Macaca mulatta: one gene and its partners. The main gene of each other region encodes a partner of the protein of the gene in region 5 in a complex. Links are inferred from orthologs where the notes say so. Each region holds a gene or a part of one and is shown on either strand. Other genes may lie near its edges.

Region 1 (3,608 bases), on a different chromosome or scaffold from region 5:
GCCCTACCCCCTCCTCTGACCTCCACTCACTCATCCCTTTGACCCACAGGTGCACGTTGGGGGCAGCCTGGCCGTCCTTGGGGGAAAGCTGTACGTCTCTGGGGGATACGACAATACGTTTGAACTCTCGGACGTAGTAGAGGCCTATGACCCAGAGACTCGCGCATGGAGCGTGGTGGGGCGGCTCCCAGAACCCACCTTCTGGCATGGCAGCGTCAGCATCTTCCGCCAGTTCATGCCCCAGACCTTCTCAGGTGGGCGCGGCTTCGAGTTGGACAGTGGCAGCAATGACATGGACCCGGGCCGACCCCGGCCGCCGCGGGACCCTGACGAGCTGCACTAGCCCCGGTCTGACCCTGCATGGGCCTTGGTGCAGGTAACTGGCACCTCTGCGGGGCAGTGCCCCACTCCTTTGTGCACAAGGACAGGTTGGGCTCACAGGAGGAGCACGGGCTCTTGGGTGGCCGAGCAAGCCCAGGATGCATTACCTGGAAGGTTTCTGTGCCTTGAAAGCCTGATCTGAGGCCATCAGGAACGCCCTTCCCGCAGTTGAGGAAGAGCTACTTTCCTGCTGGCACGTTTCTGGGTCTTGGAGGTCACCCCCACCCTGCGGATCACAGCTCACCCACGCGGCGCACACCCCTCCTGCTGCTGTCATCTGCACCTACTTGCTCCCACGCTGGGAGAGGAGGACAACTTGGGAGGGACGCGTGAAGGGAGGAGGGGTCCTCCCATGAGGCTGAGGATGATGTGAACCTGGAGCAGCGGACCAGGCACCAGGCAGAGGCTAAAGTGGGGTCCCAAATTCCACATCCAGAGGTGTGGGGAGCCTGCCTCCCTAGCTCCTGGCCCCTGCCAAGGGCTTGCTTCAAAACACCTCGGAGTGCTGGTCTCCAGAGGTTGCACCCAGGACAGTGGGGCATGAGCAAGGGTGTGGGCTGGGAGGGTGAAGAGGATGTGGCCATACCAGATGCTGGACCTCTCCAGCCATAGTCCCCCGCTCCCGCCCCGACTGGCTGTTGTGTCCTCACCTCTCACCCTCTTCTTCACCGGCCTGGGACAGAAGCCCAGGGGAGGTTTCAGCGCCAGGTCATAGCTCCTTCCCAGGAGGCCCTGGGAGGCGGTCATTGACACCCAGCCAAGCAGACAGCTGTGGGTGCCCGAGCCCTTGCTGGGCCTGTGCATGAGGAGTCCCACCGCTTCCAAAGGAAGTCCTGGGTAGGAGGTGGCCTTGGTAGTTCCAAAGTTGAAAATGCTTGCAGTTTGACCTTAGAAGAAGAAGTGGGAAGAAGAGGGAGCTCTACAGGGTCAGCTTTGTTCCTGTTTTCAAGTCTAGAAAGTCCTATTGCCAAAGCTTTCTGCAGGAGCTCCCGGGCGAATGCCGCAGCTTGGCAGCCCCTGGTTTTCTCTTAGAAATGGTCAGTTTTCCCTCAAAGTACCCAAAGTAGCCTTGGCTTGAGTTTTTGTCCTTGCCTCCCTTTTCAGAGGAGAGGGCGTTTACACTGCGTCTTCCTCGTTAAAGAAGATGAAAGCAAATGTGTGTTGCCTTTTCTAGTGAACTAACTTGTAGAGATGTTCTCAGCAGGAAGACAGTCTTAGCACTGTCACTTAGCAGACTGCACTTAAGACCCTTGTGCTGGCCAGATGGCATGGCTGGTTGCCTTAATATGTCCCCTAGGAAGGGCTAAGGGACACCTGACAGGGCTGCCTGGCCTCTCCCTCGTGCTCCTGAAGAGCCCAGTCCATACACTGTGGATGTCATTGCTGTCGGGTTAGAAAGTCTTGTCCTAGAACACCCTGGCTGGTGTGGTTACGGTTCGTGGCGGCTCTTCTCCGTTGAGTCATGGTCATCTCCCAGCACCTGCTGTGTACCAGGTGCTGGTGGGAAGGCCGAGGATGGGGGCCCAGCACTGTCCAGGCCTGCTGGGACCTGGCTGGGAGTCCTGTGGGCAGCGTGGAACATGCAGCTGGGCTTCCTGTGACCAGGAGCCCTCTGGCACGGTTGCTTGCCCTGTGCCCTGGGCCTTTTCCTGCCCTCCTCCTTCCTCTGCTCCCTTGGGGCTACCCGTTGGACTCTCCTGGTCTGTGGAAACTTCCTCAGGGAGCTTCCCTGCCCTGTAGCACTCACTTAACTTCCTAGGGGGCTGCTGAGCCCATCCAGAGGTTGTTGGAGCTCAGTGGGGCAGCTTGTCTCCCTTGGCAGCAGGGGCATAAGGGCTGGGTTTGGCCATACAAGGTTGGCTATGCCCTCAATCCCTGACTGTCCCAGGCACTGAGCTCGGCACCCAAGGAAGGACATGCTGTCCAGACTGTGTCATGACTGCCAGCACAGGGCATCTCGGGCTGGGCTGGGCTGTGAGGCCTTGCCTCTGTGGAAGAGAACTCTGGGTTCCTGTTTTCTCACTCACTCTTTGCGGCTTTGCTGTGGTTGGCAGCTGCCGTACTCCAGGCCTGTGGTGGCCACTCAGACAGGGGCTGTGGTGCGAGCCAGTGCAGGAGAGCTGGGTTTGGGATTGTGCCCTCTCCTGTGTCTGTCCTCCAGACCTGCCCAGGTCTCCACCATCAGGACCCCGTCTTTGGGTTTGGAAGACCAAGTATGGGGAAGAGCAGACACCAGCCTCTGCAGCAATGGGTCCCTCTAGCCTGTGGACACCAGCTGGGTGTCCAAGGTCACCTTGGACCTTGGTCAAGGTGGATCCAAGGTCAGGCCCTCTCTCCCCAGCTCCCCTCTGCTGTGGGTTCTGGGCTGTGATGTCCCCACCACTTAAGGATGTCTTCACACTGACTTCAGGACAGATGCTGGGAAGCCTGGGCATGGCCACGTGTTACGTGTACAGAATTTTGTCTACAGCACAAATTAAGTTATGTAAACACAGTGACTGGTATTTAATGCTGATCTACTATAAGGTATTCTATATTTATACGACTTCAGAGACGCGTATGTAATAAAGGACGCCCTCCCTCCAGTGTCCACATCCAGTTCACCCCAGAGGATTGGGCAAGTTGACATATTTATTTTTGTCTATTCTGTAGGCTTCCATGTCCAGAATCCTGCTTAAGGTTTTGGGGTACCTTCAGTACTTTTTGCAATAAAGTATTTCCTATCCATTTGGGGTCACTGCCTTTGTCCTCCTGCCACTGTCTTCTGGGACTCCTTTGGGCTGAGGCCAGATGTCGGGGGAATAGGCAGCATGGAGTCCAGGGCTCACACTGAGGGTCTTAAAAAGCCTTCCAGGCCCTTTCTCATCTCAGACTGTAGCAAGAAATGAAGCAGTGGAAAAGACATGCCCGAGAGGCAGGGTGTGGTGGCTCACACCTGAGATCCCAGTGTTGGGAGGCTGAGGAGGGAGGATCACTTGAGCCCAGGGGTTCAAGACCACCCGGGGCAATACAGGAAGACCTTGTCTCCATTTAAAGAGAGGAGAGGCTTGAGAAGTAAATGCTGTGGCGTGGATGATGCCCGGCAAACCTGCCTGCTCCAAAGCTGGTCTCTGCCCGTTTGTCCTCGACCCGGGCCCAGCTCCCACAGCCCTTCCTGAGGTTGCGGTACATACAGGTAGTGGTGAGACTCCCATCTGCAATGGGATGGCCTTTGGACCTGGGGAGGT
Region 2 (3,500 bases), on a different chromosome or scaffold from region 5:
TGTGTGGCTGACTGCAGGGCACAGCGAAAATGCAGCATGAGGCTCAGTGATGCTTGTTGGCCTTTACCACTCCCCTGGGCTGAAGACTGCATGCTGCTCAGGCACAGAAGCAGGAAGTCTGTTCCACCATTAGCGAGCAGGTAAGAAAGAAGAAAGAGCAAGGCAGACTGGCGAAGGGAAACTGAAACAATATGCATCAAAGCTGAGAGAGAGCACGACGGAGGGCGAGGCTGCCCAGCTGCCACTGCTCCTAGGTCCTCTCCATCACAGTCCGACTGCCTTTCCTGCTGTGGGCTCCCCTCCCGTCTCCTCCTGCACAATACACTCACAACCTAGCCCATCCCAAAGAGGCTGAGCAGGGGTCCAGGGTAAATGGGTTTCTGAGGAGTAGAGGACATGCAGGAAAGAAGGCAATCCGGATGTCCCCTTCCCTTATCTCACTGCTGTCCACCTTCTCTGAATTCACCCAGACTTTATTCCACAATGACAAGTGAAGTTCATGTGAAAGGCTGGGGGAACCTGAGCAACTCTCTCAGCCCATGACTTCCACACCCTCACATCACCTGAAGACAAAGGGACCAGCTAGCACCCTGTCCTACCTCCAGCATCGGGACTCTGCTCGAAATCCTTGGACATTGTTGTCCCCTCCAATCAAGTATACGAAGTTGTTGAGCACCGCGATGCCCTGGTTGGACATGCGGGGTGCCAAGGAGGCAGTGAAGTGCTTCCACTCTCCCAGTAAAGGGTTTAGATACTTGGCCTGGTCGCTGAGGACAGTGGACGGCGTGGAGTGAATGCCCCCGAAGCCCACAACGCACTGGAAGTCCGACCGCAGCTCCGTTTGCGGGCTCTGCAGGCTGGGCTGTAGGCTCTCGTTCCGGTGGTACATGAGGGCACTGGCCACTGTGTCCCTCAATGGGCTGGGGTCCAGCTTGTCATGCAGCCGCTGCAGGACCTCAGCTTCCATCAGCGGAAACCGCACTGTCTCAAGGAGCTTTGGGGGCTCGTGCAGCGAGATCTGGTCAGCCTGCACCTGCTCCAGGCTGTAATGGTAGAGAAGGGCTCCCTCGTATACCTCGGTCTCGCAGGAGACCTCCAGGCGATTGCTGCTGAGGAGGGAGTAGACCTTCTCCAGTGGAAGCTGGCGGTACTTGTCAGTCCGAGAGAAGGCCACAAAGTTTTTGAGGATGTAGGTGTCCAGTTGCTCAGTCAGGCGGCTCAAATCAAACAGCTCTGCCAGCCGGTAGACATCAAGAATGTTCTCTTCGTCCACCCAGGACATGAGGAAATCACAGCAGAAATGGATAATTTCTGGGATCTGCAGAGAGAATGACACCCATTGAAGCCTGGGCTAGCGAACAGCATCTGGGGGTGGGAGACAGAATGATGGCAGAAATACAGGCCCTTGTGGGCCAGGCAAAGTGGAAAGGAAGTCCTCCTTAATTGTCCCTGACCTTTTCTGACACACTGGAGACTGGGGCTTACTGCAGACTGGGTTTAAGTCCTGGTTTGGAAACGTACCAGGTGACAGGATATACAGCATGTTTTGTTGTTTTGTTTTGTTTTGTTTTGAGACGAAGTTTCACTCTTGTTGCCCAGAATGGAGTGCAGTGGCGCAATCTCGGCTCACTACCACCTCTGCCTCCCAGGTTCGAATGATTCTCCTGCCTCAGTTTCCCATACAGAATGTTTTTAACCTCTCTAAGACTCAATCTCCTCATCTATAAAACAGGGATCATTAAAGTGAGGAGGAGTATGATGAAAATAAGAGAGCACATAGGAGTGGACCCTTGATATACGTCAGCTCCCTCTTAGATCAAAAGTACTGGCTCAGCCAGGCATGGTGGCTTACGCCTGTAATCCCAGCACTTTGGGAGGCCGAGGCGGGTGGATCACGAGGTCAGGAGATCGAGACCAGCCCGACCAACATGGTGAAACCCCGTTTCTACTAAAAATACAAAAATTGGCTGGGCGTGGTGGTGCACGCCTATAATCCCAGCTACTCAGGAGGCTGAGGCAGAAGAATCGCTTGAACCCAGGAGGCAGAGGCTGCAGTGAGCCAAGATCGCGCCATTGCACTCCAACCTGGGTGACAGAGTGCGACTCCACCTTAAAAAAAAAAAAAAGTACTGGCTCTCCAGAAAAGCAGGAAGCAGCACAAACGGTTACTGCGTCATGTATCTGTGGTTTGGAAAGGACCTAAGACCACCCCCATCCTTACCCTAGGATTCTCTAGAAGAGCCTGCCTCTCCAAAAGTGCTGGGAGCAAAAGCAAACCCGGCCTTTTCCCCCTGCCAGAACATCCACCCTGGTTCCCTAGGAGTGCTCAGAGCCTCTCAGACACCTAACCAGCACCAACCCAGAAACCTGACTTAGAATTCTTTTTCTTTTTAAAATTTGAGACAGGGTCTTGCTCTGTCACCCAGGCTGGAGTGCCATGGCAAGATCACAGCTCACTGAAGTCTCAAGCTTCTGGGCTCAAGTGATCCCTGACTCAGGGTTCTTGAGGTCCCCAGCTGGGTCAAGACCCACTTGACTCCAGTAAGTGAAGGGGCTCCCAGGTGGCCACATCAACCCTTCCCAACCGTGGGGAAGCACTAGTGGTTTGAAAGGACAGCGAGAAAGAATGGCACTGGAGGGAGATGGGAATGAGGCCACAACTAGCAGGCTGTTAAAGGCCACCCTGTGAACAACCAAATCTTGGAAAATAGAAGACAAAGGTAAGGGCCCTAGGGAAAACTGCCTGGGAGAACAAACCAGGTGTTGATAAATTCTTTAGGAAAGCAGGATTTTAGAGGTTCAGTGGGGCCCCCCAGTGCCTACCTCCTTTCTTTCCGAGTTCAGATTGAAAAATGACAGAGTATCTTGACCTCTCTGTGACCCAGTCAACTGCAGGTTTTCCCAGCAGGCTTGAACCCAAACTGGGCCCTTGAACATTCCCAGGCACTGATAAAGGCATCAAGGTTGTTACCCAAAACACTGAAAGAAAAACTGGTTCTGGCCCTGAGACAAATTCCTTAAACCCTAATTGAAACTCCATACCCTAACCCACTCCATGGGCAAGCCTGGGTAAAGCCTCTCTTTTCCCTTATCTGTCTTGAGGATATGCTGCACCACTCTATACATAAGTTCCCTCTAATAAACGCTCTGGCCAGATCACCCTGGTGTTTGATGCTTCTTTCTTCGGAATCCCAAACCAGCTCCATTTCAGGATGCTGTGGGGTCCCCTCTTGTGGGAACCCCCCTGCTACCAACTCCAGTCATGGGTTCAGTGCAATAAATCAGTTTCTCTAAAAATGGAAATACCTGGCTTATCCAGGATCATCAATAAATTAACCATTACACATGGAATAATTCTGCTGGTATTTATTTATTTATTTATTTTTAAATTTTTATTTATTTATTTATTTTTGTTGAGACGGAGTCTCGCTCTGTTGCCCAGGCTGGAGTGCAGTGGCGCGATCTCGGCTCACTGCAAGCTCCGCCTTCCGGGTTTACAC
Region 3 (3,500 bases), on a different chromosome or scaffold from region 5:
ATGTTTGTCATGAAGCACCTGTGCTCATGTTAGATTGGCGGCGCCCCACTACTGCTAGTGGTTCCTGGGATTAATGCCAGAGCAGCGCTAGTTATCTGCTCTTCTGCACAGCTAGTGCAGAGAATTCCTGAACAGTTCACCTTACTAATCCTAACCCCCACACGCACACAACAGGTTAAAAAAAACACACCCTGACAGCTAACAGATCTATACACAATCACTCTACAGTAATGCTTGTTATTAAATTAAGATGTAATGACCTGGTTAACCCACTCTAAATCTTGAAGATGGAGAACTACATCAGCAGCAGGTAGTTATATGCATGAGCCAATGTTAACATAATACAGAAAGTGGAGGCTTTTACTGATTAAAGCTCCACGCAGACCCGCACAATGAGGGGCTGGCAATTCTTACTGCAAGCCCAGCAACGTAAGTCCACACCTGGTAAATGACCAGCTGACCGGAAGACCTGTATTCTAGATAGACAAGTATAAGTTAGTGAAAAGAGAATACATGCACCTAATAGTATAGTTAGACTGATCCTGCAGTCATAGCTTTCCCTGTGTAATACCATAAAATTATGGAAGATCTTCCTCAACTAGAGTATAGGATTTAGACGTTTCTATACCAACATGGACATTAGTGTTAAGTGCAGTTGAATTAATTACACTGAAAACTGTATTCCAGGACTTCAGAACAGAAGCACGGGAATGAAATACACATACTAAAATAACCTCAGCACAATTTGTGATATACCACACTAAGAACAGGAAACTACTTTTATAAATGAACTTTTTGAACTGTACATACACAGGGCTAACAATGTTAGATAATCCAGATTCTTATACTCTCATGATTACACATAAAGTTTCTCAATTATTGAATAATCTATTTCATATTATGGAAGCATATCTTTCTGTAAGACTCACTGATATATATTATACTGATGCAAATATTAAGTAGGGCATAAAAATAAAATTTATCAAAGATAGATTTTTATGTAGTCATATTTAGTTCTTTCATAGCCTCTTTTGTTTAGCAAAGAAAATGACAAAGCACATAACTCAGGCGTGCACTCCCTGAACTTCCCAACTATACAGGTGGTAGTGCGACCATTTCTCCATCCAGTTCAAACTCTTCTGTCCCATCCGTTGAAAAAAGGTAAGTTGGTGGTTTCCATGGAGACTCTTCAAGGCAGGATGGATAAAGTTTCCCCACAGTGCATCGAAAATCTCTCCCCAAGTCCCACAGTACACGTTCAGATATATGCTGCCGCAGAGACCACCGGTCAAGTTCCAGGTCATATTGGTAGGTGACGTATTTAGCTCGCTCATTTAAATGAGTTTCTCGCATAAACACACATAGAGAATTTGAGATCACAACAGCTCTAACACAGGGGTCAGAGTACCTCTTAGCAGGGATGTTGGCTGCCATTTTCCACTCATTTTTATTCACGTCATAAATTTCCACAGTTACTGAAGACCCATCTACGGTGCCAGAGGGGAGTCTTATGCCGGAATTGGTAGCAATATGCAACCCTCCAATATAGAAAATTTTATCACCAAAAGCTGCAGCTGAAGCAAAGGACCTACTAGTCTGTCTCATGGCCATTTCTACCCATGAGTCAGACCTTGGAAAATAACAGTACATGAGGTTCAGTGTCATCACGTAAATGCAGTCATGAACCACGACTGCTGCACTCCATTGCCAAGCACAAGGTAAAGGGCTTACCATCGTCCACTCATCTTTCTCAGTGTCGTATCTTTCTACGGTCCTCCGATTAAGTTCTCCACCTACGCTATCTCCTCCAATTGCATAGATATAGCCTTCACAGCAAACCAAAGATGGCTTTATGCGGACAAAAAGCATTGGGGTCTTTGGAAACCAGGTATTTTGCTGTGCATCAAACCAATAAAAGCAATTCACAGTTCTGAAGGCAGTCTGAAGTTTGCTTGTTTTACTGTGATTTGTTTTTGTGTTTTTCAGAGGAACTTGACCCCCTGCTATGTAGATATCATTATCAGGTGTTACAACAGTCCCAACTTTATGCAAATCAGCTGGCGGGCTACATAGCTTGTAAACTTTTTCTGCTTGGGGGCTGTAACAGACAGAAGAGTAAAGACTACAAGGATTTTCTGAAGATGCTTCAATGAAAATCATCATTTCCTCTTTAGTCATCCCAAGTCTTGGTTTGAAAAACTTGGGCATGGACTTATACAGACCTTGAACCACCACTGACTTATCATTGGGTGGCAGACCTTGAAACCAAGCTCTCTGTGTTACTTCTGAAAGTGCATCAATTCTGATTTGGCTAAGAACAGAAGACAAATACTGGGATCGTGATTCTGTGTTATACTCTAGCCACAGCATAGCAGCTTCTCGAACGGTTTCTTCCTTTTCTACATTTAAATTGTCACTACTGAGAATGTCTATCAGTAGGTCATGTGACAGCTGCATGAACGCGTCCTGATGATACACAGCAGTGAACTTGTGCTCCACCATTCTTTTAGCACTCTGTTTTAATTCCTCACAACTGAAGAGATCAGCAAAACTCAACAATCGTACACAATTCTCTGCATTTATTTTTTTAATTAAATATTCTCGACAACGTTGTAACACATCTTCTACCTAGAAGGAGAAGGAAAAAAAACAGGCTGATAGGGCCAGGACAGACACATTTTACTTTTATGTAAGACATTAAGTATATTAATCAGACGCCCACAGTGTAATTTTTATTTTCAGATACACACATCTGGGCTAAGAGATAAGGTCTTCTGGTAGTAATAAAATCAGAAGACTATATAATTTTGCAGTAATTTTTCCTGCTCAGTGGCCTACTTAACTGTTCTATTTAGGAACCAGTAGTACAACAATAAACAGGTTCTTAAAAAACAAAACAGCCTTAAAGAATAGGCAAGGAAATTCATACATAAGTCATACTTTCCTAGACTTCATATATAATTGAGAGAACTATACGAAAAAATGTAAACAAATCATAGTATACAGAAAATTGTTGTTGAGTAACTGGATTCTGGTTTCCTCAACTTGGACGAGACAGTCACATAAAACCAGCAAATCATGCACAATGAGTAGTAGTTATTTGCCATTCTTATCTAGAGAGGTAAGTTATCAAAGCAACATGAAATAGACTTATGTGCAGTTATAAATTACCTATATTTAAATGACCCATCTTAGACACTGTAAGCTTCCTAGATTTGTTTTTTCTTAAGAAGGTAGATCTCAGTTGAATCAGGTGTGCTACCTACTATATTTATGCAGCATCATAGTGATTAACTAGAAACTGTTTACACTGAGAAGTCAGGTTGCTTGGATTTAAAGCTTAAAAGGTTGCTTGGATTTAAAACTTAAATTAGCCAATTAAACTACTTATTAGGAAAGAAGTTTCAAATCTCTAAAGTTCAATTTTCTCTTATATAAAATGGGGAAATAACGGTTATCTACCTCAAATGAACACTGCAAGGATCAGATGAGAATATATG
Region 4 (3,500 bases), on a different chromosome or scaffold from region 5:
CGCCATTCTCCTGCCTCAGTCTCCCGAGTAGCTGGGACTACAGGCGCCCGCCACCGCGTCCGGCTAGTTTTTTGTATTTTTAGTAGAGACGGGGTTTCACCGTGTTAGCCAGGATGGTCTGGATCTCCTGACCTCGTGATCCGCCCGCCTCGGCCTCCCAAAGTGCTGGGATTACAGGCTTGAGCCACCGCGCCCGGCCTAGGTGAAGTATTATTCCTTTTTCTTCGCCTGCAAGAGACAGGGTCTCCCTCTGTTGCCTAGGCTAGAGTGCAGCAGTGTGATCATGGCTCACTGCAGCCTCAACCTCCTGGGCTCAAGAGATCCTCCCACTTCAGCCTCCCAAGTAGCTGGGACCACAGGTGCTCACCACCATGCCAGGCTAATTTTATTTTTTTGTAGAGACAAGGTTTTGTCATGTTGCCCAGGCTAGTATCAAACTCCTTGCCTCAAGAAGTTCTCCTGCCTCAGCCTCCCAAAGTGCTGGGATTACAGGTACAGGTCACTGTGCCTGGCCTACTATTCCTTTAACATCCAGTTTGCGTGTCCCTTCCTTCCATCCCCTGCGCCCTCACAAGACAGTTATGATTTGGCTCCTGCTTCTGTAGATCCTCACTTCCAAACTTTTGTCTCTTCATTTTTGATCCACTCCTGAGCAAAGGTTTATTCTTCTCTCTTCTACGTAATGTCCTTACTTTGTATAGGCTCATTATTCTTATTATCCTCTTTATTTTTTATATACATATATATAGTCTATATCTCTGTCTCTACTAGCAGGTTGTGAATTTTTTGAAAGCAAGAACTATATTTACCCATTTGGGGATCTGTAGCACCTGGCATAGTAATTGCTACATAGTAGATATTCTCAGTAAATGTTTGTGAAATGAGTGAATGGGTAACAGAGAAGTGGTCTACAGATATCTACTTTACTTCCAATTTCTGCTTATTCTATACTCTGTTTAATAGTGATTCTTACCCACTCGGATCATATATCTAATTGAAGAAAGTGGCAAACTCCCACTCCATAAAAATGCAAATAAATTTGGTACAGGAGGGGTTAATGAAATCTTTGAGCCAAAATACACACTTGATTATGAAGCCCTAATGGTAAGTAACTGCATCCTACTTTGCAAGTTTTGTAACTGCCCAATCTTGAAGAAACCATAACATCAAGACAAATCTGTACCTGAATTTCATCGCACTTGATTAGTTTTTCCACCTCTCCTTGACTCAGAAGAATGAACTCTTCATGCTGTACCACTTCAGGAAAATGTTTCTGGCTAAAAACCTCAGCTGCTTGCATCAGGTCAACACAATTGTGGGTTTCTGCAAAATCCCTAATGCCCAGGCAATTAGAAGGGTCCAACTGACTTTCTAAGAACTCACAGCAGGCTTGTTTCACACCTAGGACGGACACAGGAAGCAAACACTTTAGAACAGTTGGACGGGTGTGATCTAGTCTGTATTCTTGTATCTCAACATCTTCTCTACATGTTATCAGATGAACCCTTGTTTCAACACCTAAGAAACAGATGAGAAATTCTTTGCTTAAGGAACTTAAAACCCTATTTCTGGCTTATGTACTGCGCCACTTTCAGCAAGACCTTTACACCTGTCTCTGTTTAATCTTTAAAGTGAATATTGCAAGATGAATCACATCCAGGGACCTGGCAAAATTCAACAAAAATGCCTACAAAACTCTTGGGAATCAAACTATAAAACTAATTACTAATTCAGCATAATGTACCCATTTTTCTACTCTACATGAAAACTTACTAAAAGACTAGAGTGAAAGAAAAGCAGAAGATAATAACAAATCTCATATTCATCTAATTGAAAAGTTCAGGGTATTTTAATTTTATGACTATGCACTAATGCAAAAGCTTCACACTGTTTAAACCATGTATTAAAAACTAAAAATGTATCAATTATGTATATATAAAAACCAAAAACATAACTGAATTTTAAAAAGAAAAAACTGAGGACCAGGAATGGTGGCTCATGCCTATAATCCCAGCACTCTGGGAAGCAAGGTGGGAGGATCACTAGAGTCCACGAACTTGAGACCAGCCTGAGCAACACAGAGAGAACCCGTCTCCACAAAAAAAAATTTTTTTTTTTTTTTGAGACGGAGTCTCGCTCTGTCACCCAGGCTGGAGTGCAGTGGCCGGATCTCAGCTCACTGCAAGCTCCACCTCCCGGGTTTACGCCATTCTCCTGCCTCAGCCTCCCGAGTAGCTGGGACTACAGGCGCCCGCCACCTCGCCCGGCTAGTTTTTTGTGTTTTTTAGTAGAGATGGGGTTTCACCGTGTTAACCAGGATGGTCTCGATCTCCTGACCTCGTGATTCGCCCGTCTCGGCCTCCCAAAGTGCTGGGATTACAGGTTTGAGCCACCGCACCCGGCCAAAAAAATTTTTTTTTAAATTAGCTGGGTGTGGTGGCATGTGCCTGTGGTCCCAGTTACTCAGGATGCTGAGGTGGGAGAATTGCTTGAGCCCAAGAATTCAAGGATACAGTGAGCTGTGATTGTACCACTGTGCTCTAATCTAGGTGACAGAGTGAGACTCTTGTCTCAAAAACAAAATAAGAAGTCTAAAAAACCTGGGAACTGTAAGGGAAAACAAACCACCTGTAATCCTGTGAAAACATACTTTAATATTTTGTGCATCAATTTAAATTTCATTTATCTTAATGAAATACTACCACTTAATGGCCAGATAAAGAGTATCCATGTAGATTATGTATAGTATCAGTTTTTATTATAGTTCCTTATAGGTGTGTTATATACATGTATGTAAGAAAACACATAATTTCTCCTTCCTACATTTTTTTTTTTAAAACAGAAAAGGTGCAAATGCTCTTTTATAGTGCCAAATACTCATATCTGGAGAAGTTCCTTTATAGTGCTATTGACATCTGATCTCTTATTGCTCAATGAGACAAAAGCCATGGCTAGTAAACATAAGCATCCATAGTTTGTCTCCAAAATGTTCATGATTAAGTTTACACTATTAATTTTCAACCTTTCCAGGGCTATTTCAACATAAATAATACCAAGTTTTAATGTCTGTACCTTTCAACTGAAGCAGACAGGCTGCAGGAAGCAGTTCTTGTACATTCTCCACTGTCACATGTACTGTTTCTGTGTACACAAAGTCCAATAAAATTTCCATGGTAGAGGCAGTCAAACCTTGGATGTCAACATAAGGTTTCCCCTTCTCTGAAAGCTGAAAATTTGAAAGGTAAAAAAGAATGATGGTTATAATTCTACAAGATAAAGGCAGAATCTCATACCTAAGAGCTTAGAGATGTTAGTAACATTAATTGAACATATATCTTTAAAAATTATAGGCCAGGCATGGTGGCTCACGCCTGTTATCCCAGCACTTTGAGAGGCCAAGGCAGGCAGATCACCTGAGGTCAGGAATTCAAGTTCAGCCTGGCCAACATGGTGAAACCCCATCTCCACTAGAAATACAAAACTTAGTCGGGCATGGTGGC
Region 5 (3,500 bases):
GTTCTCAACAAGAGCAACTTTTTTCCAAGAGCGGGGTCTACCACAATTAAGATCTTTTGCCACTAGGTTTCTAGTGGAAGCTCAGAAAAATTAAAGACAACAGTTCCCCCTTTTTTTCTTAAGACAGCATCTCCCTCTGCAACCCAGGCTGGAGTGCAGTGGCATGATCTTGGCTCACTGCAGCCTTGACCTCCCTGGCCGGATTCAAATGATCCTCTCACCTCAGCCTCCCAAGTGTCTGGAACTATAGGCATGTGCCATCACGCCCAGCTAATTTTTGTGTTTTTCATAGAGACAGGGTATCACCAATTTGAACTCCTGAGCTCAAGCGATCCACCCACTTCAGCCTCCCAAAAGTACTGAGATTACAGGCGTTTGCCACACTGCCCGGACAAAAACAGGATTTTAAAATTTAATTTAGAATCACAGATAGCTACTGTGTTGTTGGAAACCTAAGGTACTAAATAAAGGAGAACTCTGGTGAGTACTATTATGATATTCCTTCATTCACGTTAAGTGCCTGCAATGATAGGCACACCTGACACCTTTTACATATATCTCCACACAAGTTACAGAGATGCTGTAATTCAGGTATGCCCAACAACCTCTCCATCAAACATTTCCTAGCCCCTCATCTCCAGCCCATTTAATCATCCCTCCCTACATGCCCCTAAGGTAGGTAAGAAAGCATTCACTCAATACCTAAACAGTACATTACATAATTTATCGATACTCATTTTGTTTAAGCAGGGCAAATGCTTTGCATGAAGTCCTAGTCTACCAGAGACCATTTAGAGAAGGGTCATCAAATTAGAACCCGTGGGGCAAATAAGCCTGCCACCTATTTATGTACATACAGCTCATGAACTAAGGATGGTTTTCACATTTTTAATCGCTGAGGAAAAACTGTAAAGGATACTATTTAGTGACGCATAAAAATTATATGAAATTTAAGTTTCAGGGCCCATAAATAAAGTCTTATAGAAACACAGGCTTATTCATTTGTTATTGTCTATGACTATTTTCTCACTATGACTGCATGGCTCACAAGCCATTTTATTCAACAAGAACAAAAAAGGCTTGCCAACCCCAGACTTAGACCTTAATTTTAGCAAACACGGCAAACATACTAGATGACTTGTTTTTTTTTTTTTTTTTTTTTTTTGCTTTTACAAAAAAAGGTTTAACAGAATAGTCTTTTAAAAAGGAAGTCTCTCTAGTTTTTTTTTTTTTTTTTAAATTATGTATCACTTTTCAGGGATTTATCATATATACAAAAATTTAACAATTTTAAAACACAAGGTAAGGATTCCACTAGAGAGAAACGTGGCTCAACTTCCCACCAGCTTTCTTTTTCCCTTCTCTTGTATCCTCCTGCTCTTCATAATTCTCTGTTAAAAAACTTTTTTTCATTCCCTACATAGCTCATGACCCCAAGAGGCAATATGTATTTCTTTTACTAAAAAGAAGTGGATAAAATATCGCTCAGATTTCATCTACGAAGCAGGAGAACAAGGGACCATGTTTTTTTATTTTCTAATACCATATCACTGATAAAGGCAAAGTTTTAAATCAAAGCATCAGAAACTAAGAATAGAAGATATGGTTATTGTTCTTTTAACTTGTAATTTCTTCTAGGATACTTGTCACAATTTTTTTTTTACCCCAGGGAAATAAAGATAAATAGCTACAAAAAATAAATGTTAGTTATCTCAATAGTGTTTTCTACTTTTATGCACTCCTCCTTCCTCCTTTTCCATTCTGTAACTTCAGTGTTCCCCAAACCAATCTAATTTATCTAAGTGTATCAATATGGAAGACATAAATATTTTTGCATTTTTGGCACCCTATCACAACTAAATCCCAAAGGAAAGTCTACAAAAATCTAAGGTGGAAATTTAAGATTTTAAGAGAATCACAAAACCCCAAGAGTATGTAGGAATAAAGACAGCCCACATCCTTTGGTATACGACAAGTACAGGAATGAATGAGGAGCTCATTGGGCTCACCTACTGTTACACTTTTTATCTTCTGGATTAAGAAAAACATAAAATGAGACTTAAAGACAGGAAATGCTCAATTCATTAGAAATATCTAAAATCTTCATTGGTAAGACAGTATCAAGCTTGGAAATCCCACCCAGGTTAACAGCGGAGACAAATTAACAATATACACAACTTCTTGAAAACTGATACCTGCTTTAAATGTAGGAAAGTTTTAAAAATATCGATAAGGCAGAATAAGGATTTAATTATTTTTCAATCGGTAACACTTACCTTCTGTCTTTCCATTTTTCAACATATGTACTAGCCCAGAATTCTCCATTTCTACTATAGTCTTCATGTGCTTGGAAATGAGTTCCCTCTCAACTACCTTCACAATTGGTTCTTCCGTTGATTTGTCAAGGCAGTGCATCACTCGTTCTATCTCTTCATTAATTCTAGCTTCTACTTTCTTTATATATACTGAAGCACTATTTTCTGCTAAAAATTTCTGGCTTTCCATCTGCAATTTAAAAATGTAATTTTTTTAATATAGAAGAAAAAGGTGTTTTTGCTCTTAGCTGGGGTTTCTATAGTGTTTATAATAAATCAACCTAAGTAAAATAAGTACTAATAGGATTTTGTGTAATCTCTCATTACAAAGATTGATATAGTCTGAATTATATCCTTTAAAGCCTTTGGTGTTTACATAATACTAAATTAAAACATTTCCTGTAAACAATGTTTTTCAAACTGTGCCAATGCACTCCAAAAAATAGCCAAAAAAGTAAATATATATGCCAGCGAGGGTCAAAAATATAGAAGCATCTGACTCCAAGATAGAGTGGGATGTTCTTTTTAGATTTGTCTGAATGCAAAATTATAACCAGAAAGATTCATCATGTTTATCATACGCTTTGCTGGCATACTGCTGGTTACTAAAGTCTTCCTGCCATCCCACTCCCAGTCTCAACGGAGTAAACATATACACTAACGTTTGAGAAAAAGAGTTTTTAAATAACTAATAATCTTTTTATTTATTTATTTATTTATTTTGAGGTGGAGGAGTCTTGCTCTGCCACCCAGGCTTGAGTGCAGTGGCGCGATCTCAGCTCACTGCAAGCTCCGCCTCGGCATTCTTCGGCCTTAGCCTCCCGAGTAGCTGGGACTACAGGTGCCTGCCACCACGCCCCGCTAATTTTTTGTATTTTTAGTAGAGATGGGGTTTCACCGTGTTAGCCAGGATGGTCTTGATCTCCTGACATTGTGATCTGCCCGCCTCGGCCTCCCAAAGTGCTGGGGTTACAGGCGTGAGCCACCGCGCCCGGCCAACATTTTAGCTTCTTACTAATACATCTGTTTTGGCAACACTACAAAATTCCTACTGTTATGGAATGTTATGTTATGCTACGTTATGTTATGCTCAGATAGTTATGGTATTCAGGAAAAATGCCTGGTTACAGTTACCTTACAAATACTATCTTATGCTTACTGGTACTCAGTTATTATTATCATCAT
Region 6 (3,500 bases), on a different chromosome or scaffold from region 5:
GGGGTCATAGCAGTCCAGAGTCTTACACCTCTGGGTCCCAAAGTAGCCCCCAACCACATACAGCTTGTTGCCGGACGCCAGGGCATGGCAGGACATGCGCTTGGCGGTCATGTCCCCAATCCGTGTCCACTGGTTGGTCTCACAGTCAAAGCGGTAGGCCGAGGCGGCCGTGAATTCCGTGTCACCTCCCATGATGAAGATCTGGCTGCCCAGGACGGCAGCGGCTGTGTACCGCCACGGCTGGGGGCACTCAGCTTTGATCGTCCACCTGTTCTCCGCGGGGTCATAGCACTGGACCTTGGACACCATGTCCCGGTGGATGCTGGTTCCTCCAAACACAAAGAGCTTCAGCTTGGCACTCACTACTGCGGCATTGCTGACGCCATCCCTCAAGGGGGCCACCATCATCCACTTGTTGGCCCCAGGGTCGTATTTCTCCACTTGTTTCAGGGAGACAGAAGGGGAGGCTGGGAAGACGCCTGCCAGAGAAGTGTGTCCCCCCACCACATAGAGGCAGTTCTCCAGCTCCGCTGAGCCATGGCCAAAGCGGGCAATCAGCATGGGCGCCGCCTTGGACCATTCCTCATGTACGGTGTCATACACCCAGACGTCCTTGGAGACCCCGTTCTCGGAGCCCCTGCCCCCTGTCACATAGACCTTGCAGCCGATCGCTGAGGCGCTGAACTCCTTCCGGGGGCTGGGCAGGTCGGCCTTGGGGATGATCTCCTTGGCCTTGTGGTCCACCTGGTAGATCTTGTCACACATGAAGGTCTGACCCCCCAGGATGAGCAGCGTGTGGCCTGCTTTGCGTGGCCGGGCACAGGGGCTGGTGACCACGCCGTCATTCTGCAGGATCCTGGTCTTGCAGCGCAGGGCCTCGTCTATGATAAGCTTGGTGCGCTCGTCCGCCATGAGAAGTGCCTCGCTGGAGACGGCCTCCTGCAGGCAGTCAGACGGCAGCAAGGCCAGGCGCACGCTGCGGAGGAGCTCGGGCAGGTGGGCCTTCCGCGGCTCCAGGTCGTGCTTCACCCACTGGAGGATGGCCTCGAAGACCACCCGCTCGTCCTCGGTCTCCAGCTCATCACTCGAGATGAGGTCCAGCAGCGTGTCCTTGGACAGGCTGTTGAAGTCCTCGCTCTGCCGCACCGTCTCAAAGTGCACCAGGCACATGCGCCAGGAGAACTCGTACAGCCGGCGGCACTGGTGGGCGTCCGAGAGCAGCATCATGCCCAGGCAGTTGGAGGGGAAAAGGTTCTTCTCCAGGAACTCGGCGGCGGCGTCCCGCACGTCGTGGAACTGCAGCATGTCGCCCGCCTCCAGCAGCGACTCAGCGTTCTCCTCGTTAATGGCGATGCGTGAGGAGTAGGCAAAGTCCAGCAGCAGCTCCAGCACCTCCGGGTGCAGGTTGTCCTGGAAGTTGACAGTGTCGTCCCGGCTCTCCCGCAGGCCGTGGCTGAACATGGCCTCAAAGTAGCGGCTAGAGGCGGCCAGCACGGCACGGTGACAGGGGAAGGCACGATCGCCCGCCCAGAGCGTGACGTCAGTGAACATGCAGTGCTTGCGAAGCGTGTTGAGGTGGGCCAGCACGCAGTCCGGGTGGGAGGCCTTGTGGAAGAGGGTGACGTTCATGGACCCCGTGCTGCTCCGCGACTTGCGGGTCTCATGGACGCTGACCGACATGGTGCACCAGCCTGTGGGGGAACAAGCCCACAGGTCAGCGGAGCCCCTCCTGTCCATCTGCCCTCTCAGGACTCTCTCTTCAGCATGAGCCCCCTTGCCCCCTCCCACCCACTCCCTGCTCACCTCTGCTAAACCAAGTCCCTCTCCCGCAACCACGTTGCCAAGGACAACATAGGCAAGAGTGGCTGGGTCTGACCCTGCCCTGCAGAAACTGGTTTTGTTCTCAGGGTATGGGCCAGCTCTGGGACAAACATCTTTGGCCTGCAGATGAGCCACCCCCTAGGTGAGCTAGAGTTGAGGCTGCCTCCCATGGTTGAGAGAACACGCAAACGGTGTTCCTGACTCAGGCAGGTGTCCGGGCAGTGCTAAGTAACTGGTGCCTTTGACCACATTCCACCCTCATGACAGTCCTCTGCAGAAGCTTCTCCTGTGAGTCCCATTTTAAAGCTAGGGAAGCCACAGCTCAGAGAGGCAAAGAAACTACCCAAACCGCCACAGCCAGGATTCTCATACGGGCTGTCCGGCTCTGGAGCCTGATCTCTGTTCAAGGTGACTGATCCCTGCAGGGTTTGCTGTGGACACCCAAGTAGAGCCTCATGTACCCGCTTCCCTGCTCCCAGCAGGCTCTGCCCTGGGCTGGTACTGGCTAGACATCCCCCTAGCCTTGGAACAAGAGCTGCCATCAAGGCCCAAGTGCTCAGTGGAGACGTGTTCTCTGAATCCAGGTGTCCCCACAGGGCTCTTCACTTAGCTGGGGCAAGTGATGGCCTGGAGGTGGGGCCACAAGTGACTCACCCTCAAGACCAAGGCAGAGGCCCAAGATGACAGCAGGACATGCTGAACACTAACTGAAGTGATCCAGATTTGCCTCAGCCAAAGCAGAGAAACATGCAGCCAGAGCTTCCCGGGTCCCCGATTGACTCCAGGACCCTGAGTCAATGCGACGCCTCCCCTGCCTCCCTTGTCTGCCCTTCTCCCCCAGGCCTGGGGACCGGGTGCTCAGAGTGATGGAGCAATGGTCTGTGCCAACAAACAGGTTCGCTGCCTGCTCAATCTCGGGGAATTCCAAAGCACTGTCATTAACGTCCAGTGAACAGCATGACCCAAGGCCCCAGTTCAGTACTGAGAACTCAAGGGTCAGACAAAACTCATGCCTACAGAAATTATGGCCAACACCTTTGATGCCATCTCTAAGACCACAGCTACCTGCCCCCTGACCTGTGGAAGGAGACTGTATTCAACAAGTCTCCCGATCAGGAATTCTCTGACCACCTTGTCAAGACCCTCACCAGAGTCTCCGTGCTGCGGACCCAGGCTCCAGCTGTGGAGACAACAGGGTTTTTACACAAGAAAAATAAAGTGAATTAAGCCTGGAAAAAAAGAAAAAGAAAAGAAAAGAAAACATGGCCAAAACGCAAACTGCATTCCAGCATTTTGACCCCCTAAAAAAGCCTGTGCTGCCGTCTTCCTGCTGGTAATGGGGCCAAGAAAAACAAAAAACCCTAAACAACAAAGTTTTTCATTTTTCATTTTCAAAAGTATGTAACTCCCCTGCCGCCTCCCACTCCAAGTCAATTTTCTACTTACCTGGTAAAGGTAGGAAACGACTTCATGCTTCAATGAAATTGCAAATGAGTGTCCGACTACATGGCTCTCTCTTGCTCACTCCTCCTCTGGCAAAGAGGCAGAGAAGCCACAAACTGACAAGATTAGAGCTAGGCAAGGTCCCTGCTTTTGGGCTTAGGCAGAGAGGGCACAGCAGCCGTACTGGCCTTGCTGCTTGGGCCCCCAAGCTCCAGGCAGACTGCAGACTGAGGACC
Region 7 (4,055 bases), on a different chromosome or scaffold from region 5:
GGGAGGATCGCTTGAGCCGAGGAGTTCGAGACCAGCCTGGGAAACAGAGTGAGACCTTGTCTCTATTTAAAACAAAAAAAAATCGGCTCTAGCCTGTAATTCCAGCACTTTGGGAGGCCGAGGCAGGCGGATCACCTGAGGTCAGGAGTTCGAGACCGGCCTGGCCAACATGGTAAAAACCCGTTTCTACTAAAAATACAAAAGAGCCGGGCGTGGTGGCGGACACCTGTAATCCCAGCTACTAGGGAGGCTGAGGCAGGAGAATCGCTTGGACCCGGGAGGTGGAGGTTGCAGTGAGCCGAAATCGCGCCAGTGCACTCCAGCCTGGGCAACAAGAGCGAAACTCCGTCTCAAAAAAACACCCCAAAAAGAATGCTTCACAAAAATTAAAGAAATACAGCGACTGCAGATGGGTCGGTTTCACTATAGCACAAGTAGCGGAAAGAGGACACAGACTGGGGAGAAATCACCCTACACAAGATGACAACTGAGGAATGAGAAGTGGGGACTGACACACGCCACGGTGAAACCGCGCACCACGACCAAAGGCGGTCCTAGGACTGCGACTAAGCGGGCGCAGAGGCCACCCTCCAGGCTTGGCGGGGGGATGAGGGCAGCACTGGGGGCCTGCTCAGTCTGGCCTTAGGGAGGACCTTCGGGGCTCTCCTCTCTCCCCATCGATCCCTGAGCAGTTCCCGAACAGAAATCGGAGACCAGACGGTGCCTGGGCCCCAGCCCTCCCACGCGGACTGCGCCTTGGGCCTGGCTCGGAGGTGGGTCAGAGTCTGCGAAAGACCAGCGAGGGCTCTCAGGTTTCGGGGCAGGCGGCGGGCGCCCACCCCGGCTAGCAATGGGAGTCGCGCGGCGACCGGGCGAGCCCGGTAGGCAGGACAGGACTGCGGCGCAGGTCCGACTCAGGCGGAGGAAGCAGCCGCCGCCCCAGCTGATGGAGTGCGGCCGGGGGCTTCCCAGAGGAGGCGGCGACCTCGAGCCCTTTCGAACGTTTCTACCAGGCTAGCTCACGTAGCCTCGGCCCCGCCCGGCCCCGCCCCGCCCCACCCACTCCGGCCACCGCCCCCTCCCCGGCCGACACTTCGCGGGTGGGGCGACTTGCGATAGCCCCTTTAAGAGGCGTGGTCACGTGCTCCGCCCCCACCTCCCCCACGCGCGCCAGTAAGGGGTGGGGTGCGGGAGGAGGTGCCGGGGAGGCTGGGGGAACGAGGTGTGCGCTGCTGCGCAGGCGCGGTGGTCGGACGACAGACCGTGTGTTTCCAAAATGGCGGCAGCGATGGATGTGGATACCCCGAGCGGCACCAACAGCGGCGCGGGCAAGAAGCGCTTTGAAGTGAAAAAGGTTGGGTCTCGCCAGCGCCTTCCTCAGGGAAGCTAGAGAGGCGCGGATCTGGCTGGCAGGCCCGAGGATGGTCGAGGCGCGGAGTAAAGGGTTTCATTTTAGGGCGTTCCTGGGACCGGGTACCACGAAAGGAAGTCGGGGGGCGGGCCTTAGAGTTGATCGGCGTGACGGCGGCCCACTGTCAGGGGAAGTGTTGGTTTCGATGTGAGGCTGAGGGGCCAATCACAGAGCTGCTTGTTGAGATACGCGGGGTTGCGACTTGGCGGCGGGAGCCAAGCGCCTGAGCTGTCACTGGAGTGGTTGAGAGGTGGGGGAAGGTAGGGTGGGGTGAGGTAGGGTGGGGTGGGGTGGGGTGGGGTGGGTGGAATGGGGAGTCAGAGCGACTGCGGCGGTGGAGGATGGGGCAGTGCGGCGAAAGCCTGGAACCTGAGGTCCTACCGCATTGGAGGCCTCTGAGGAGCCCCGCTAGTGATCTTGCTCCGCCCCTTTTTGAAGCTTGCTTGGGGTCCTCTCACTTGAAGGGATCAGACTTGTTCCTCGCTGAACCGAGGCCTCCATTAACCCCATCTCTGGGCCTCACACCGCCGAGTTAGAGTCTGGAGTGTAATGCTTGGGTGTTCTGAGACGTCTGTTGGCTTTTCCCACAACCACCCCACTCTTGGATTCTCTGTCACGTTCAGAATCTCCCCCTTCCGAAATAATAATAAAAAGCACGGTGGAACTTGTTAAGAAAATCCGAGCCCAAATCCTGTGGCATTTCGGAAGGGTTGAGTACTAGTTGCGAATGACTTGGTAAGAGGGGAAAGCAAAAATGGAACGTGTCTTTTGCATGAAATGCATTTTAGTGGTTTGCCACAGTTTGGGAGAAAAGTGTCGATTCCCACCTAACATGAAAACTATTCGAAATGGAGATTCTGAAATAGGGAAGATATTCCTGGAACATCTGGCTAAACACTGACAATATCCCCCCCCTCCTAGTGCTTTTTGGTGTCTCATTGTGGCCACTGCTGCTCAGTTACAGCCAGCCATATTGAAGAATAATAGAAGTAGGGGCTTTTCCTCCAAGTTGAAGCTGTGATGTGAAAAGTGGTGAAGAAGTTACTAGGCACTGAGACTGGGGTTTGAAAGCGATGAAGGTTTGGGAGTACTTGTAATTGAGGAAACCAGAGTTGAATGAATGAAATGCCACTTTTAATTAAACTCTTACTGGAATTATTATCTTTTTTTTTTTTTTTTTTTTTTTTTTGAGACGGAGTCTAGCTCTGTTTCCCAGGCTGGAGTGCAGTGGCCGGATCTCAGCTCACTGCAAGCCCCACCTCCCGGGTTCACGCCATTCTCCTGCCTCAGCCTCCCGAGTAGCTGGGAGTACAGGCGCCCGCCACCTCGCCCGGCTAATTTTTTTTGTATTTTAGTAGAGACGGGGTTTCACCGTGTTAGCCAGGATGGTCTCGATCTCCTGAACTCGTGATCCGCCCGTCTCGGCCTCCCAAAGTGCTGGGATTACAGGCTTGAGCCACCGCGCCCGGCCTGGAATTATTATCTTAATAGAAGAGTCTAAACATATAAAAGTTCAGAACATCAGTTTATTTTATGGTAAGAATCGAACAAAATTCTAGTGAATTGTAGAATTTGTTATGAAGTAATCTAAGATTTAAGTGATGACCTTGTTCTGTGTACTGACATGGGCAGTTAATTATCCAGCTTATCCCACGATTACCTGTTTTATGATCCAGTCATCATCTTAGTTCATTCTGTTCCCTAGCTTTCACTTCATTGCTCATGCTTCCAAAGCTGCCTGGAAGAGCAGATACTTATTCAGATTTTGAGCGCTTCTGCAACTGCCACCAAAACCTGCACAGAAATTCAAGTTTGTGCTTTTTTTTTTTTTTTTTTTTTTAGATGGAGTCTCACTCCATCGCCCAGGCTGGAGTGCAGTGGCACGATCTCGGCTCACTGCAACCTCTGTCCCCCAGATTCAAGCGATTCTCCTGCCTTAGCTTCCCAAATAGCTGGCATTATAGACACCCGCCACCAAGCCTGGCTAATTTTTGTATTTTTAGTAAAGACGGGGTTTCGCCATATTGGCCAGGCTGGTCTCGAACTCCTGACTTCAGGTGATCCACCCGCCTCAGCCTTCCAAAATGCTAGGATTATGGGCGTGAGCCACTGCGTCCGGCCAGACTAAATTGTTTTAAACTACAGGAAACAAAAGATGACATTCATTTATGTCTTCATATACTCAGTCTTTTGGAGAATAGGAGAACGTATGTGTTGTCTACTGTTGTCTTTGGTATAATAAGATTAACATAATATCCAAAACCTTTTGTTTGGTGGTTCCTTGTGGCCAGAGATCATAACTACAACTGCAGCCTGAAGTCCTAAAAACTGTGTGTGTGTTATAAGGAGAATGCATTGTTCCCTCTTTTTGTCTTTGCAGTGGAATGCAGTAGCCCTCTGGGCCTGGGATATTGTGGTTGATAACTGTGCCATCTGCAGGAACCACATTATGGATCTTTGTAAGTAATTGGAGGAGGATGGGAGGAAGTTGAGAAGGTTGCAGAGCTTGTGGCTATCTTGATGTGACCGATTTTCTTCTTCACAAGCAGATATCAAGCCTACTCTGAGCACTCGGTCTTCTGTATCTAGTCTTTTGGTGTGTTTGAAATAGAGTAGTTTTTTTATGATGTCCTGGAGGCATACC

What was found.
Region 1: CUL3 (region 5) and KLHL21 share a complex: the UniProt entries of both Homo sapiens proteins name them as parts of the BCR(KLHL21) E3 ubiquitin ligase complex. The link is inferred for Macaca mulatta from reciprocal best matches to the Homo sapiens genes CUL3 and KLHL21.
Region 2: the proteins of CUL3 (region 5) and KLHL22 are in contact, whole or in part, in a cryo-EM structure (PDB 8K8T), measured with the Homo sapiens proteins. The link is inferred for Macaca mulatta from reciprocal best matches to the Homo sapiens genes CUL3 and KLHL22. Residues at the interface, in NP_003581.1 of Homo sapiens: Thr14, Arg17, Ile18, Arg19, Ala20, Phe21, Pro22, Met23, Met25, Asn49, Ser50, Gly51, Leu52, Ser53, Phe54, Glu55, Tyr58, Tyr62, Leu66, Met118, Asp121, Ile122, Met124, Tyr125, Arg128, Val129, Gln133; in NP_116164.2 of Homo sapiens: Asp73, Tyr74, Arg76, Gly77, Met78, Gly81, Gly82, Leu83, Lys84, Glu85, Leu92, Ile93, His94, Leu117, Gln121, Val125, Cys128, Gln129, Gln131, Pro133, Trp146, Glu150, Asn151, Asp154, Val155, Arg157, Leu161, Phe162, Asp163, Ser165.
Region 3: CUL3 (region 5) and KBTBD2 share a complex: the UniProt entries of both Homo sapiens proteins name them as parts of the BCR(KBTBD2) E3 ubiquitin ligase complex. The link is inferred for Macaca mulatta from reciprocal best matches to the Homo sapiens genes CUL3 and KBTBD2.
Region 4: CUL3 (region 5) and KLHL12 share a complex: the UniProt entries of both Homo sapiens proteins name them as parts of the BCR(KLHL12) E3 ubiquitin ligase complex. The link is inferred for Macaca mulatta from reciprocal best matches to the Homo sapiens genes CUL3 and KLHL12.
Region 6: CUL3 (region 5) and KLHL25 share a complex: the UniProt entries of both Homo sapiens proteins name them as parts of the BCR(KLHL25) E3 ubiquitin ligase complex. The link is inferred for Macaca mulatta from reciprocal best matches to the Homo sapiens genes CUL3 and KLHL25.
Region 7: CUL3 (region 5) and RBX1 share a complex: the UniProt entries of both Homo sapiens proteins name them as parts of the BCR(ARMC5) E3 ubiquitin ligase complex. The link is inferred for Macaca mulatta from reciprocal best matches to the Homo sapiens genes CUL3 and RBX1.

The regions. Positions count from the first base shown.
Region 1 is NC_133406.1:234,192,476-234,196,083, forward strand, and holds the end of KLHL21 (kelch-like protein 21), read left to right. Parts: intron 1-49; coding exon 50-343; 3' UTR 344-3,108; downstream 3,109-3,608. UniProt on the Homo sapiens protein: Substrate-specific adapter of a BCR (BTB-CUL3-RBX1) E3 ubiquitin-protein ligase complex required for efficient chromosome alignment and cytokinesis.
Region 2 is NC_133415.1:32,193,835-32,197,334, reverse strand, and holds part of KLHL22 (kelch-like protein 22), read right to left. Parts: intron 1,319-3,500; coding exon 600-1,318; intron 1-599. UniProt on the Homo sapiens protein: Substrate-specific adapter of a BCR (BTB-CUL3-RBX1) E3 ubiquitin ligase complex required for chromosome alignment and localization of PLK1 at kinetochores.
Region 3 is NC_133408.1:95,474,691-95,478,190, reverse strand, and holds part of KBTBD2 (kelch repeat and BTB domain-containing protein 2), read right to left. Parts: intron 2,629-3,500; coding exon 1,093-2,628; 3' UTR 1-1,092. UniProt on the Homo sapiens protein: Substrate-specific adapter of a BCR (BTB-CUL3-RBX1) E3 ubiquitin ligase complex that acts as a regulator of the insulin signaling pathway, modulating insulin sensitivity by limiting PIK3R1/p85alpha abundance in adipocytes.
Region 4 is NC_133406.1:60,583,888-60,587,387, forward strand, and holds part of KLHL12 (kelch-like protein 12), read right to left. Parts: intron 3,227-3,500; coding exon 3,073-3,226; intron 1,402-3,072; coding exon 1,184-1,401; intron 843-1,183; exon of another isoform or gene 469-842; intron 344-468; exon of another isoform or gene 185-343; intron 1-184. UniProt on the Homo sapiens protein: Substrate-specific adapter of a BCR (BTB-CUL3-RBX1) E3 ubiquitin ligase complex that acts as a negative regulator of Wnt signaling pathway and ER-Golgi transport.
Region 5 is NC_133417.1:129,759,212-129,762,711, forward strand, and holds part of CUL3 (cullin-3), read right to left. Parts: intron 2,506-3,500; coding exon 2,277-2,505; intron 1-2,276. UniProt on the Homo sapiens protein: Core component of multiple cullin-RING-based BCR (BTB-CUL3-RBX1) E3 ubiquitin-protein ligase complexes which mediate the ubiquitination and subsequent proteasomal degradation of target proteins.
Region 6 is NC_133412.1:75,565,259-75,568,758, forward strand, and holds part of KLHL25 (kelch-like protein 25), read right to left. Parts: exon of another isoform or gene 3,268-3,500; intron 3,051-3,267; exon of another isoform or gene 2,899-3,050; intron 2,735-2,898; exon of another isoform or gene 2,476-2,734; intron 1,692-2,475; 5' UTR 1,681-1,691; coding exon 1-1,680. UniProt on the Homo sapiens protein: Substrate-specific adapter of a BCR (BTB-CUL3-RBX1) E3 ubiquitin ligase complex involved in various processes, such as translation homeostasis and lipid synthesis.
Region 7 is NC_133415.1:10,578,625-10,582,679, reverse strand, and holds the start of RBX1 (E3 ubiquitin-protein ligase RBX1), read left to right. Parts: upstream 1-1,255; 5' UTR 1,256-1,276; coding exon 1,277-1,354; intron 1,355-3,791; coding exon 3,792-3,870; intron 3,871-4,055. UniProt on the Homo sapiens protein: E3 ubiquitin ligase component of multiple cullin-RING-based E3 ubiquitin-protein ligase (CRLs) complexes which mediate the ubiquitination and subsequent proteasomal degradation of target proteins, including proteins involved in cell cycle progression, signal transduction, transcription and transcription-coupled nucleotide excision repair.